Linked DNA regions of Struthio camelus. The protein of the gene in region 1 purifies or fractionates together with the protein of each later gene. This does not show direct contact. Links are inferred from orthologs where the notes say so. Each region holds a gene or a part of one and is shown on either strand. Other genes may lie near its edges.

The links.
Region 2: the proteins of ATXN2L (region 1) and LSM12 purify together in Homo sapiens (affinity purification with mass spectrometry; 4 studies listed by BioGRID and IntAct, with this or other methods). This does not show direct contact. The link is inferred for Struthio camelus from reciprocal best matches to the Homo sapiens genes ATXN2L and LSM12.
Region 3: the proteins of ATXN2L (region 1) and G3BP2 purify together in Homo sapiens (affinity purification with mass spectrometry; 4 studies listed by BioGRID and IntAct, counting the BioPlex papers as one, with this or other methods). This does not show direct contact. The link is inferred for Struthio camelus from reciprocal best matches to the Homo sapiens genes ATXN2L and G3BP2.

The regions. Positions count from the first base shown.
Region 1 is NC_090973.1:104,390-108,129, reverse strand, and holds the start of ATXN2L (ataxin-2-like protein), read right to left. Parts: upstream 2,959-3,740; coding exon 2,935-2,958; intron 2,325-2,934; coding exon 2,182-2,324; intron 1,497-2,181; coding exon 1,460-1,496; intron 1,363-1,459; coding exon 1,306-1,362; intron 1,185-1,305; coding exon 1,113-1,184; intron 1,025-1,112; coding exon 874-1,024; intron 790-873; coding exon 665-789; intron 590-664; coding exon 498-589; intron 397-497; coding exon 193-396; intron 108-192; coding exon 1-107. UniProt on the Homo sapiens protein: Involved in the regulation of stress granule and P-body formation.
Region 2 is NC_090966.1:4,695,854-4,699,593, reverse strand, and holds the start of LSM12 (protein LSM12), read right to left. Parts: upstream 2,509-3,740; 5' UTR 2,408-2,508; coding exon 2,287-2,407; intron 1-2,286. UniProt on the Homo sapiens protein: Nicotinic acid adenine dinucleotide phosphate (NAADP) binding protein. Confers NAADP sensitivity to the two pore channel complex (TPCs) by acting as TPC accessory protein necessary for NAADP-evoked Ca(2+) release.
Region 3 is NC_090945.1:8,183,018-8,186,757, reverse strand, and holds the start of G3BP2 (ras GTPase-activating protein-binding protein 2), read right to left. Parts: upstream 2,407-3,740; 5' UTR 2,139-2,406; intron 1,774-2,138; exon of another isoform or gene 1,651-1,773; intron 1-1,650.

The DNA.
Region 1 (3,740 bases):
GCGGGAGGGAGCCCACCCCGGGCCGCCCGCCGCGGGAGGAGCCGCAGCGCACGCCGCCGCGCGACCCGTCCCGCACGCGCTGCGGCAGCGGGTTGTACTTGCTCTCCCTGCGGAGAGAGGCGAGGGGCGCTCAGAGGGGCTGGGGGCGCTCGGAGGGGCCGGGGGGCGCTCGGAGGGGCCGGGGGGGCCGACCTGGCGGCGGCCAGGCTGGGGCTGTCGCGGCCGGAGCCCTGGCGCTGCACCGAGCTGTGCTTCTCCTCCTCCGTGCGCCCGTCGTCGTTCTCCATGGCGATGCGGAGCCGGTACTGCGGGCTCGACTCGATCTCCCGCGCCAGCTGGGCCGCCCGGGCCTCCCGCTGCCGAAACTCCTCCGAGTTGTCCTTCTCCAGCGGCACCCTGCGGGGGGGGGCCCGCGCGGCGTCAGCCCGGCCAGGGGCTCCCCGCGGCGGCGGCCGGACCCCCTGCTCCCCCCGCCCCGGCCCTGCCGGCGCGCTCACGTGTAGGAGGAGAGGCTGCTGTCGTAGGTGGTCTTCACGCCGTAGGTCTCCTCGTTGAACTTGAACATCTCGTTGGGGTCCCAGCCGTTGGACTGCGGGAGGAGAGGGCTCAGAGGCCGCCCGCGCCGCTCGCCGCCCCCGCCCCGGCCCCCGCCCCGGCCCCTCACCATGTCCGAATCCAGGTCGTAGTCGTCGCTGTTGCTGTCGCCCCCCTCCCAGCGCTGCAGCACCTTCTCCTTGTGCTCCCCGTTCACCTTCGAGTTCATGGCGATGGCCGAGTCGGTGAACTTGTCTGCAGGGGGGGCGGGGGTGAGGCCTGGCCGTCGCCCGCCCCCCCCCCCCCCCAACGCGGCTCTACCGCCCCCTCCCCGCGCACCTTTCGTGGCGTAGTTGAAGTCCACGTTGCGGAAGTGCACCAGCATGACGTCGGCGGGTTTGAAGACCATGGTGTCCACGATGTCCTCGCGCTTGGGGCCGGAGGGCTGGTCGGGGTTGCGCCGGTGCACGGCGTCCACCGCCAGCTCGAACTGCGGGGACGGACGGACGGACGGGCGGGCGTCACGGCGGGGCCGGGGGCGTCAGCCCGAGGCCGGGGCCGCCGCTGCCCGCACTCACCTTGGAGCTCAGCGTCTTGAAGATGCCCTCGAAGGTGCTGCCGTTCTTCACCTTGACGTCGCAGGTGGAGCCCTGGGCGGGAGAGGGGGAGGCGATGGACCGCGGCCCGGCCCGGGCGCCCCCCAGCACCGCAGCTGCCCCCCCCAGCGCCGGGACCGCCCCCCCCAGCGCCGGAGCCGCCCCGCGGACTCACCACCACGGCCGTCAGGAAGTGCAGCATGCGGGAGTTGTTGTAGACGCCCTCGAAGACCTGCGGGGAGGGGGGCGGAGGGGTGAGGGGCTCCCCCAAACCAGCGGCCCCCGCGCCGCCGCCGCCCCCCCCCGCCCCGAGCTCGCTGGTCACTTACCGGCGCCTGGGGGGGCCCCTTCCCCGTGCTCTGGCCCCTGAAACGCAAATGAGGGATGTGCCGGGTCCCCGCAGCCCAGTGGGGCCGGGGGGGTGCAGCCTCCGGGACCGCGGCGCGGGCGGAGCCCGGACACTTGGGTCCCTGGTCCCAGTGATGGGGGGGCCCGGACACCTGGGTCCCTGGTCCCAGTGATGGGGGGGCCCGGACACCTGGGTCCCACTGATGGGGGGGCCCGGACACCTGGGTCCCTCTGATGGGGGGGGCAGACAGCTAGGCCCCTGGTCCCACTGATGGGGGGGTCTGGATACCTGGGTGCCACTGATGGGGGGGGAGTCCTGGACACCTGGGTCCTTGGTCTCCCTGATGGGGGGGGGCCCGGACACCTGGGTCCCTGGTCTCCCTGATGGGGGGGGCCCGGACACCGGGGTCCCCCTGATGGGGGGGGGCCCGGACACCTGGGTCCCTGGTCCCCCTGATGGGGGGGGGGCACACTGGCACTTGTGGCCCACCGGACACCTGGGCCCCTTCCACCCCCTTGGGGGAGGCCGCGGCGGGGGGGGGGGGGCGGGGGCGTCCACCCCCCCACGTGCCCCTTCCCCCCGCCCTGATTGGCCGCGCCGCCGGCCAATCAGCGCCGGGCTCCCTCCTTTCCCCCCTCCCAACCCCTCCAACCCCCCCCTCCAACCCCCCCCTTTCCCGGCCCGGCAGGACCCGGATGTTACCTGGTGCCGCCGCTTCCTCCGGCGCCTCCCCCCCCCCCCGCCGCGCCGCCGCGGGCCGCTCCGCCGCCGGGGCTGAGGCTGCCGTTAGGGCTGGCGGCGGCGGCGGCGGCGGCGGGGGGAGGCGGCGGCGGCGGCGGCGGGGCCTTGCGGGCGGCGGGCGGCGGCGCCGCGGCGGCGGCGGGGGGCTGCGGGGGCAGCGGCTGCGGCTGCTTCAACATGGCGGCGGCGGCGGCGGCGGCGCGGCGTCTCCCTCCCCCCCCGCCCGGGGGCGCGCGCGGGGCGGCGGCGGCGGGTGGCGGCGGCGGGTGGCGGCGGCGGCGGCGCGCGCGGAGCCGGGCGCGGCGGAGCCGACCGGGGAGGGGAGGGGAGGGGAGGGGGGGCCGGGGCGCCGGCGGCCGCAGCGCGCGCGCCTCCCCTCGCGCCCTGTGTCCCTCCGCACAATGGGCGGGGAGACACCGCGCATGCGCGCCGCGCCGGCTTTTCCCTCTTTTTCTTTTTTTTTAATAATAACCCTTCCCCGGCCTCTTTCGCTTTTTGCTCACGTGACGGCGGAGGAAACGCCCCCCCCCCTTCCAGCACCGGCTTCGCTCCACGCGCGTTTCCTCCGCCGGCAGGGAAAAAAAAAAAAAAAAAAAAGTAGTCCCCCCTCCCCTCCCGCCGCGCATGCGCGCCGCCGCCACAAAGGGCGCCGCTCCCGCCCCCTCCGCGCTGCGCATGCGCGGCCGAGGCTACCCGCCTGCCTTCCCCCCCAACCCGCAAAATCCGGCGGCCGCGCATGCGCGCGCCGAAGGGGGTGGGGGGGTGGGGCGCATGCGCAGTGCGTCGCCTCTCCTCGCGGCCGGGTTGGGGGGGGCGGAGGGGCACGTGAGGACACGGGCGCCTCCAGTGAGATCCCTCCGCCGGCCGCATCACAGCGGGGGGGGGGCGCGGGAACGAGTCCCGGCTCCTGCCTCAACCCCGCCGCCCCCCCTTTCCCCCCCCGGCGACTGTCGCCTCTCAGGTACCGGCGGGAAGAGAGGGTGTTGTATGTCGTCGTCCCCCCCCGCGCGGTGGGGTGACCGGGGTCTCCATGGCGACCCCCAGCGCTCGGGGTGGGGGGGGCGCTCTGGCCCCGCCCGCCGCTCCGCGCTAGAGTTTACGTCTCACGCAGGGCGACGCTCTAGTCCTCCACGCGCTGGCTCTATGGTGTTTACGTTAGTACGGAGCGGGGGCTCGATAGCCTCGCCTCTCTATGGTGGCAGCGGGCGGCTGAGACAGTCTAGGCGTGGAAGAAGCCGAACTGGCTCTCTATGGCTCTCTGGGGGCCCTCTGCCTGCCTCCGTCTTCTCAGCTTTATGGTTCTCCTAGAGCCGCTCTAGTTACCCTCAGCCTTCTGCTCTATGATCAGCGGGAGCAAGAGGCGCCGCCATCCCGTCTCTATGGTGAGCAGCCGGGGGAGGGGGGGGAGGGGGCGCTCTGGTCTCCTCGCCCTCTCTACGCTCCGGCGAAGAAGGAGGGGGGACGCTCTGCACCGACTTGCCCCACCTCGATGCTCCCGGGGCGGCCGCTCCGGTCAGTGC
Region 2 (3,740 bases), on another chromosome or scaffold:
GGTGCAGACCTCACTAGCAAATGCCCTTCAATAATGGAGAGAAAACTCAGGATGCCCAAGGAACTCTGTGCAAGTCGGTCTCTTTCTTTGGACAGATAAGATGGAGCATCCCAACTTTAGAAGAAAGATCCAGACTTACAGCAAAGCCTGAATGGGAGCTCTCAGACTGCTACCTCGTCCCTCGGGCAGACCGTCAGCCTGATCCACCGAGCCAACCTGTGGGACATCTTTTAAGACTTTCCTACAGCATCCAGGCTCAGGGAGGTTCCCCTGTATGAACTGTACAACCACGTCCCAGGGTGAATTACAGTTCCTTTACTATTCACGTCCCTATTCCCTAGCACCCCTCCAAAATTGTAGCACTGTCCCAAGCACTCTCCAGGGCGCTTCCTGATGTCCTTCAGTATTTCTCTTAGCTGCAGTCTCCAAACACAAACCTCTCTCACTCCCTCCCCAACTCACTTCTTCCCTCCAGAACCAGCCGCTGGAGCCAACAAGCCACCTCAAGCACTTCTCCAGCCCACTTCCAACACCACTCCCTGGGCTGAGCATTGACCTTCATGAACTCTCTGCAGTTCCTCTGCTGTTTCATAACAGCCTTTGCCCTCACCATATTCGCAGGTTAAAAAGAAAAGTGCGTGCTTGTGCATGCGTGTGTGTGTCTATATATATTTTTAAATCCCCTGCCACTGCCTCTCTGCCTCTCCTCCATGCAATCCCAGGCCCCACGTCCCCTTCCCTCCCCCAACCGCATGGCATTTCTTAGGCCTCCACCCGCAATGACCCCACCACCACAGCCACTGTGCCTGGACATGCTGCGAGGAGCAGGCTCCGCTTCCTCACTGAACCCAGACAGCTTCAGCCTCCCCCTGAGCCAGTCCAAATTCAGACGCAACTCTTCCTTCAAGACACCCCAGTCCTAGAGCTCATCTCCTCCCTACCGGGCCCTTCTCTTCAGGGCTCTTCCTTTCCCCCAAGAGCCGTTCCCTAGCTCGCCCTGCCTCCTTTCTGACACCCCAGGGCACCTGGCCTGCCCCACAGCTGGCCATTTCCCACTCCTGAAAACACCCCCACTTCCCACACAACCCCCCCCCCAAGGGCTCCCCTCACCCACCTCCATTCCTCCCACGAGACCCCCTATAGCCCCCTCAAGGCTCCCCCAGTCACAAGACATCCCTCTGCCCTGCCACAGACCCTCCATCCCTCCCTATAAGGCTCCCTCCCAACCCCCCACAGCTTCAAGGCCTTGTCTTAAAGCTCCGCAGGGCTCCCCCCCCCCCCAACACCCCTATAGGATTCTCTATTTTCCCAGGCTCTTTCTATAGCGCTCTCCTCATACCCATTGGGTCTCCTCATCCTCCCCCCAAGACCTGTGCCTACTGTCCCATAGGGCTCCCCATCACCCCAAGCCTGCCCCTATAGGGCTCCCCTCACAGGACACCACCCCCCTGAACCCCACAGGGCATCCCTACCCCCCAAAGGACCTCACCATGCTGTCAAGGCCTCCCCTAAAAACCCCATAGTGCTCCCCCCAACCCTCTGTAGGGCTCCCCCCCATCTCCAAGCCACCCCCTTATAAAGGCTCCCCACCCCCTCATAAACCCCCCCTTAGGGCTCCTCACCCTCCCCAAACCCCTCTATAGGGCTCCTCACTCCCCCCAGAACCCCCCCCGGCCTCTTCACCCCACCAAGCATCCCTCTATAGGGCTCCTCCCCCCACAACGCTCCTACGAGACTCCTCACCCCACCAAGAGCCCCCCTTTAGGGCTCCTCACCCTCCCCAAACCCCTCTATAGGGCTCCTCACTCCCCCCAGAACCCCCCCCGGGCTCTTCACCCCACCAAGCACCCCTCTATAGGGCTCCTCCCCCCACCAAGAGCACCCCACAAGGGTCCTACGAGACTCCTCACCCCACCAAGAGCCCCCCTTTAGGGCTCCTCACCCCCTTCCTAAGACCACCCCCCCCTTAACGCTCCCCTCCCAGCCCCCACCCGGGCCGACCCATACCTCCAGGCCCTTCCCACACCCCCCCTCGTGGGGCTCCCCCCCGAGCCCCCCAGGTCCCGCCGACCCCCGCTCAACCACCCCCCGCCTCCCCGCCCCCCCTCCCCTCCTATAGCGCCCCCGCGGCTCCCCTACCTCCCCCCAGCACCTCGCCATGCCTCCCCTTAGACCCCCCCCCTTCCTCCTCCTCCTCCCCCAGGCGCCCCAGGCCCGGCCGGCACTGCCGGGCCCCGGCCACCCCGCCGCGCCGCGCCGCGCCGCGCCCGCGGGCCGGTGGGATACTGAGCGCCAGCATCTTGCTGGGGTAGTCGAAGGCGACGACCTCGCCCTGGAGGCGCTGCTCCTGGCAGGTGCGGCACGACACCTGGCTGCCCACACTGAAGTACTCGCCCGGGGCCGCCATCTTGTCTCAGCCCCAGCAGCGGCCGCCGCGGCTCGCCTCAGCCAGGCACGGCGCGGCGGGGCGGGGCCGGGCCGCGCGCCGCGCCGCGTCACCGCGCGCGCGCCGCCGCCGCCGCCGCGGGGCGGGGTGACCTTGCGGCAGGGGAGGGGGGGACCCGCGCCGCCGCCGCTGCCCCCCCCCTCCCGCCGCCGGGGCGCCGCGGCTCGCCGGGCTTCTGCCCGAGCCCCGCCGGGACCCGCGGCCGCGCCGCCTCCAAGGCAGCCGGGCACCGCGAAGGCGCGGCGCGGCGCCGCGTGTCCCTCGGGTCGCCCCGTAGCCGGCCGGCCGGCGCCGCTGGGGCTGCTGGGAAGTGTAGGCGGAAGGGGCGGGCGGCCGCGGCTGGCGGCGGGTGAGCGCGGGGGACGGACCGGGGCAAGAGTGGGGGAGGGGCGGGGGGCCGGGGGGCCGTTGGGCGGGAGGGGAGCAGCGGGGCTTGGGGGGGGGGCACTTGGGGAGGGGGGCAGCTGGGTGTGGGGGGCAGTAGGATTGGGGAGGGGGCAGCTGGGTGTGGGGGGGTCATTGGGGTGGGGAGGGGGCAGCTGGGTGTGGGGGGCAGTAGGATTGGGGAGGGGGCAGCTGGGTGTGGGGGGGTCATTGGGGTGGGGAGGGGGCAGGTGGGTGTGGGGGGGTCATTGGGGTGGGGAGGGGGCAGGTGGGTGTGGGGGGCAGTAGGATTGGGGAGGGGGCAGCTGGGTGTGGGGGGGTCATTGGGGTGGGGAGGGGGCAGGTGGGTGTGGGGGGGTCATTGGGGTGGGGAGGGGGCAGGTGGGTGTGGGGGGCAGTAGGATTGGGGAGGGGGCAGCTGGGTGTGGGGGGGCCATTAGGGTGGGGAGGGGGCAGGTGGGTGTGGGGGGCAGTGAGATTGGGGAGGGAGCAGTTGGATGTGGGGGGGGTCATTGGGGTGGGGAGAGACCATTGGGAGTGGAGGGGCGATGGGACTGGGGAGGGGGCAGCTGGGTGCGAGGGGGACCATTGAGGGGGGCAGTTGGGTGCAGGGGGGACCACTGGGGCTGGGGAGGGGGCAGCTGGGTGCGGGGGAGGCAGTAGAGCTGGCGTAGGGGCAGTTGGGGGGGGCTATGACAGGGGAGGGGCAGGGGCAGCTCAGGGGGGTGGCCTAGGTGACAGCCACCCCCCAGGGAGACTCCCCCCCCATCCCCTCCAAGGCAGTGACAGGCACTGGGACCTGCCCCCACTTACCTCTTCTGGGGAGGGGGCAGGGGACAGGCCACCCCGCCAGCCCTGTCCCCAGGAGGCTCTCACCAGCCAGAGCTGTTTGGGGCAGCCTGACCGCTCT
Region 3 (3,740 bases), on another chromosome or scaffold:
TCCTCAGCATATTTTCAGCACGGTAAGACACTTCCAGTGTGACAGCAGGTGTAAAATTTGAAATCTCAACTCCATACAAACAGTTTACCTATAAGGACACCAGCGGATCAGTGGGTTGAAAGGTCAGTAACTTCCCTCTCCAGTAAGTTAGCTATCATAGAAGACATTTTACTCTACTTGTGAAAAATAGTCATACGATACGGATCATAATTCCATACAGTGAGCCCACATCTACCACTTAGAACATTACAAGAACACTTAAAACAGGAAACAAGGATTACACTTCTTAAACCCAAGCTAATAGTTTCCGGAATAGGTTCAGAAGAAGGATGTTTCCTAAAGAATGAAAAAGCTTTCCAGAGGCAGATATGGCCCTGCAGGCGTACTTATGTTCAGAATGAACAGAGAACGTCTTGCTAATTACAAATTAACTCCAGAAGCAAAAGTTGCCAGTAACAACACCTTCTTGGCTAAGAATGGAGGTTGACAAACCCTTTACCTACTCACCAAGCTGAGGTAACACAACTATGCTACTCGCAGGGACTTGGATATACAGAGTAGTGCTTGCTTGCTATTACTTCATTTTAAGTCTCCTACAGGCCATCGAGTAGGACAGTGCAGCCTAAATTGCAGAGTAACCATTTCTACCAAGCTGATCTTACTTTACTAGTGCTCCCCAGTTAAAACTGGCAATAAAAGAAACAAGAAAAAGGAAAAGAAGATATACCTCAGGCAACAGTGAGTGCTTTAGTAGGATGTTTGCCCCAAACATCCTACTATGACAAGTTGTCTTTCTCTTTTTACTGGTCCACCCAATTACAGATCAAAGACACTGATCTGGCTTTAAATATGAAGCTTGAGTATAAGAAGTAGTGGACTTGCACAAGTACTGCGCTAAGAACAAAATAATTTATCCTGTTTCTCAAGAGATGAAAACTAGCTTTAGTATCTTTACACTTCCTGTTGTAATGAAGAGGAACGCTTGTACACTGAACTTGAAATGCCTAATATATAATGAGGGCTCAAGAACTGCCAAACCCACATGGAAGGCTACAATCAAAAACCTTGCAGGTTGGAGTCAGTCGGTCTAGCTTCAGATCAAGCAACAATCTCATCTTCTCTCATCCCACAGAGTGTTCTTTCCTTCATGCAGCAGTGCTTGGCACAGCGCTCAAGATCCTAAGCGTTACTCAGCTAACCAGGGAAGTTAAAATACTCATGCTAGAGGACGTTCCTATGTACCCACTCTGGAACTGTAATGACTTTTACTTTACCCATCCAGGATTAAGGGAAGGAAATGCCAGAGAATACCATATTCACCTCAGACGTGAAATAAGAGACGCTCACAAAAGGGCTGCTCAGGGTATCTAGATCTGCAGAATAAAAGATGCTTGCAACTTCAGCCATGTTATGAGTGAGAACAGAAAAGCTCGGGGTGTGATTGGAGCAAAAGGGAGCACAGAATGGCACGGTCCATGGAATTAGCAAGACCTGGGCTGGAAAAGGTTTTAAAGCCAGTGACGCTATCACAGAACCAAACCCTAAAAGGAAAGGGGCAGCCCAGTGAGCTGAGGATAAAAAACTAAGGTCGCTTCTGCAGTACAGACGAGGCTGGGAAACAGCATCCTGTACACGCCGGAGTCCACATACCTCTAGGGGCTCACGGAAGGCAGCGCACGAATCGAGCGACGGGAAGGGATGAAAGGGACGAACGCTGCAGCAGAGCACGAAGCAACGCAGGGCCCGGGGCGTCACGCCTGGGAGCGGCGGCCGAGGGGGCGCTTTTTCCTCCCGCCTCCCGCCAGCGCCCGGGGCGAGGCGGAAGGGGGAGCGCCGCCGAGGCGACGCACCGCCAAGGTGACGGCGAACAAAAGCCTCCCCCCGCGCCCCGCTCCGCCGCCCCCGCCGCGCACCGGGCGACGAGGCGGGCCGGGAGCCGCCGCCGCCGCCGGCCGGGCCCGGGGCCGGGGCCGGGGCCGCACCGAGGCAGGGAAGGGCTCTCGCCGGGCGAAGCCGGGCCCCGCCGCGCCGCTTTCCTCCCCCCCGACCCCGCGCGCGCGCGCGCGGGCCGCGACCGTTAAACGGCCGCGACCGTTAAACGGCCGCCGGGCCTACCTCCCCGCTCGCCCCTCACTCACCCAGGGAAAAAGTCTCGGTGTGTGGGGCGGGGGCACGACCCCCCCCGGGACCTGATCGGTGTCGGGCGCGGCGAGCCTGTCCGCGGGCGGGTGCCGCAGCCGGGGGGAGGGGGGAAGGACGGGGCGATCGGGGCGCGGCGGCGGCGGCGGCGGCGGCAGCAGCAGCGATGTCACGGCCGGGCGGGGGAGGGGCGGCCGGGGCTCCCGTGCGCGCCTGCCTGTGCGTGCGGCCGTGCGCGCGTGCGGCCGTGCGTGCGCGCGTGCGCGCGCGTGCGCAGAGGGGAGGGGGCAAAAGCGAAGGGAGGGGGAGGAGAGCGGGCGCGCATGCGCCGCCGCGCCGGCCGTACTGTCTTGCCCCTGCGTGAGCAGGCAGGAACCCCTTTCGGGCGCTCTCCGCCAATCCCGTGTGGCTTGCCGCGGTGACGTTCGGGGGGGGGGGGGCGCCGGCTTCCCGCCGAGCCCGCGGGGGCGGAACGGAGGTGGGCGGGGCGCGCGCCGACCGTTAGCGGCCCAACGGGCGGCGGGGCTCGGGGCGCGCAGCCCCCCGCGGGGGCAACCGCTTTCCGGCTTCTTGGGCGGCAGAGAAGGCGGTGGGGCGAGCGATGGTTCGCCCGAGTGCCGCTGAGGTGCCTTTTCCTCAGCTGCTGCGGCTTTGCTATAGGAGTTCTTTGTACTGCTTGACTTACGTTTTTTTCTGTTTTGCAGTAATATCAGAAGGGTGTGTTTCTCCAGCAGGTGCTTACTGCGCTGTCGAGTGTGGTGGAGTCGAGGTGGGGGCGTCCTTGGTGTCAGTGCGGCTAAGCAGCGCGCGGGCTTGTTGGCAGTCAGGCTCGCTATGTTCACGCCGGTGTTTTCACCGTTGGCCCCTTTCTCTTTTTGGAGGCTGATTTCAGCTAAATGGTGCAGTGTTTTGCATTTGGCAGGACTCTCCAGCCACCTAATAAATAAGAGGATGCAAATGAAGTTGGACTAAAAGCAGTGTCCCATGCGAAGCTTTCCCCTGTTCATAGCTTGCTTAGTTCAGGATTTCTCAGCAAAATTGAGGAAGCCCTTTTTCAGTATGTGTATTTGAGGTATACTAAAAAAATAGCTAATAGTTCTGAGGTTCAAATATTCAAATATCAACTCAGTAGGCCAGCAGCAAACACAGTTACCTCTGCAGTACCTCCTTCCCAAGGTAAGACAAGCTAGACTTGAGGGTGTGTGCCAGGGCACAGCCAACACCTACTCTGGGAGCAAATCACCTCTTTCACTGAAGCTCTGGATGTAAGGAGCTTGGCAATCAAAATTTCAGTCTTTTAGAAGGAGACCCTTGATTTTTGGTGCCTGTTGCCCAGCTTCAGCATTTTTGATGAGTTAAGTCTTTTCTGCTTGCCACTGGCCTCAGAAAGTACTTTAAACCATCCTCCCTGGCAAGGGCAGGAGGTACAATTTTCCCAAGAGCTGTTACAATCACCACCTGTAACTTGTATTCAGTAATGGAAATGGTATGGACTCTGTGGGGGCATGTGTAAAGGTTGCAACAAAGAAGCATCCTAGGAAAAGAAGCCGCCCAGCAATCCCCGAAGTCTGTGTCAGGCGAAGCGTTTTCTGGAACAAAAC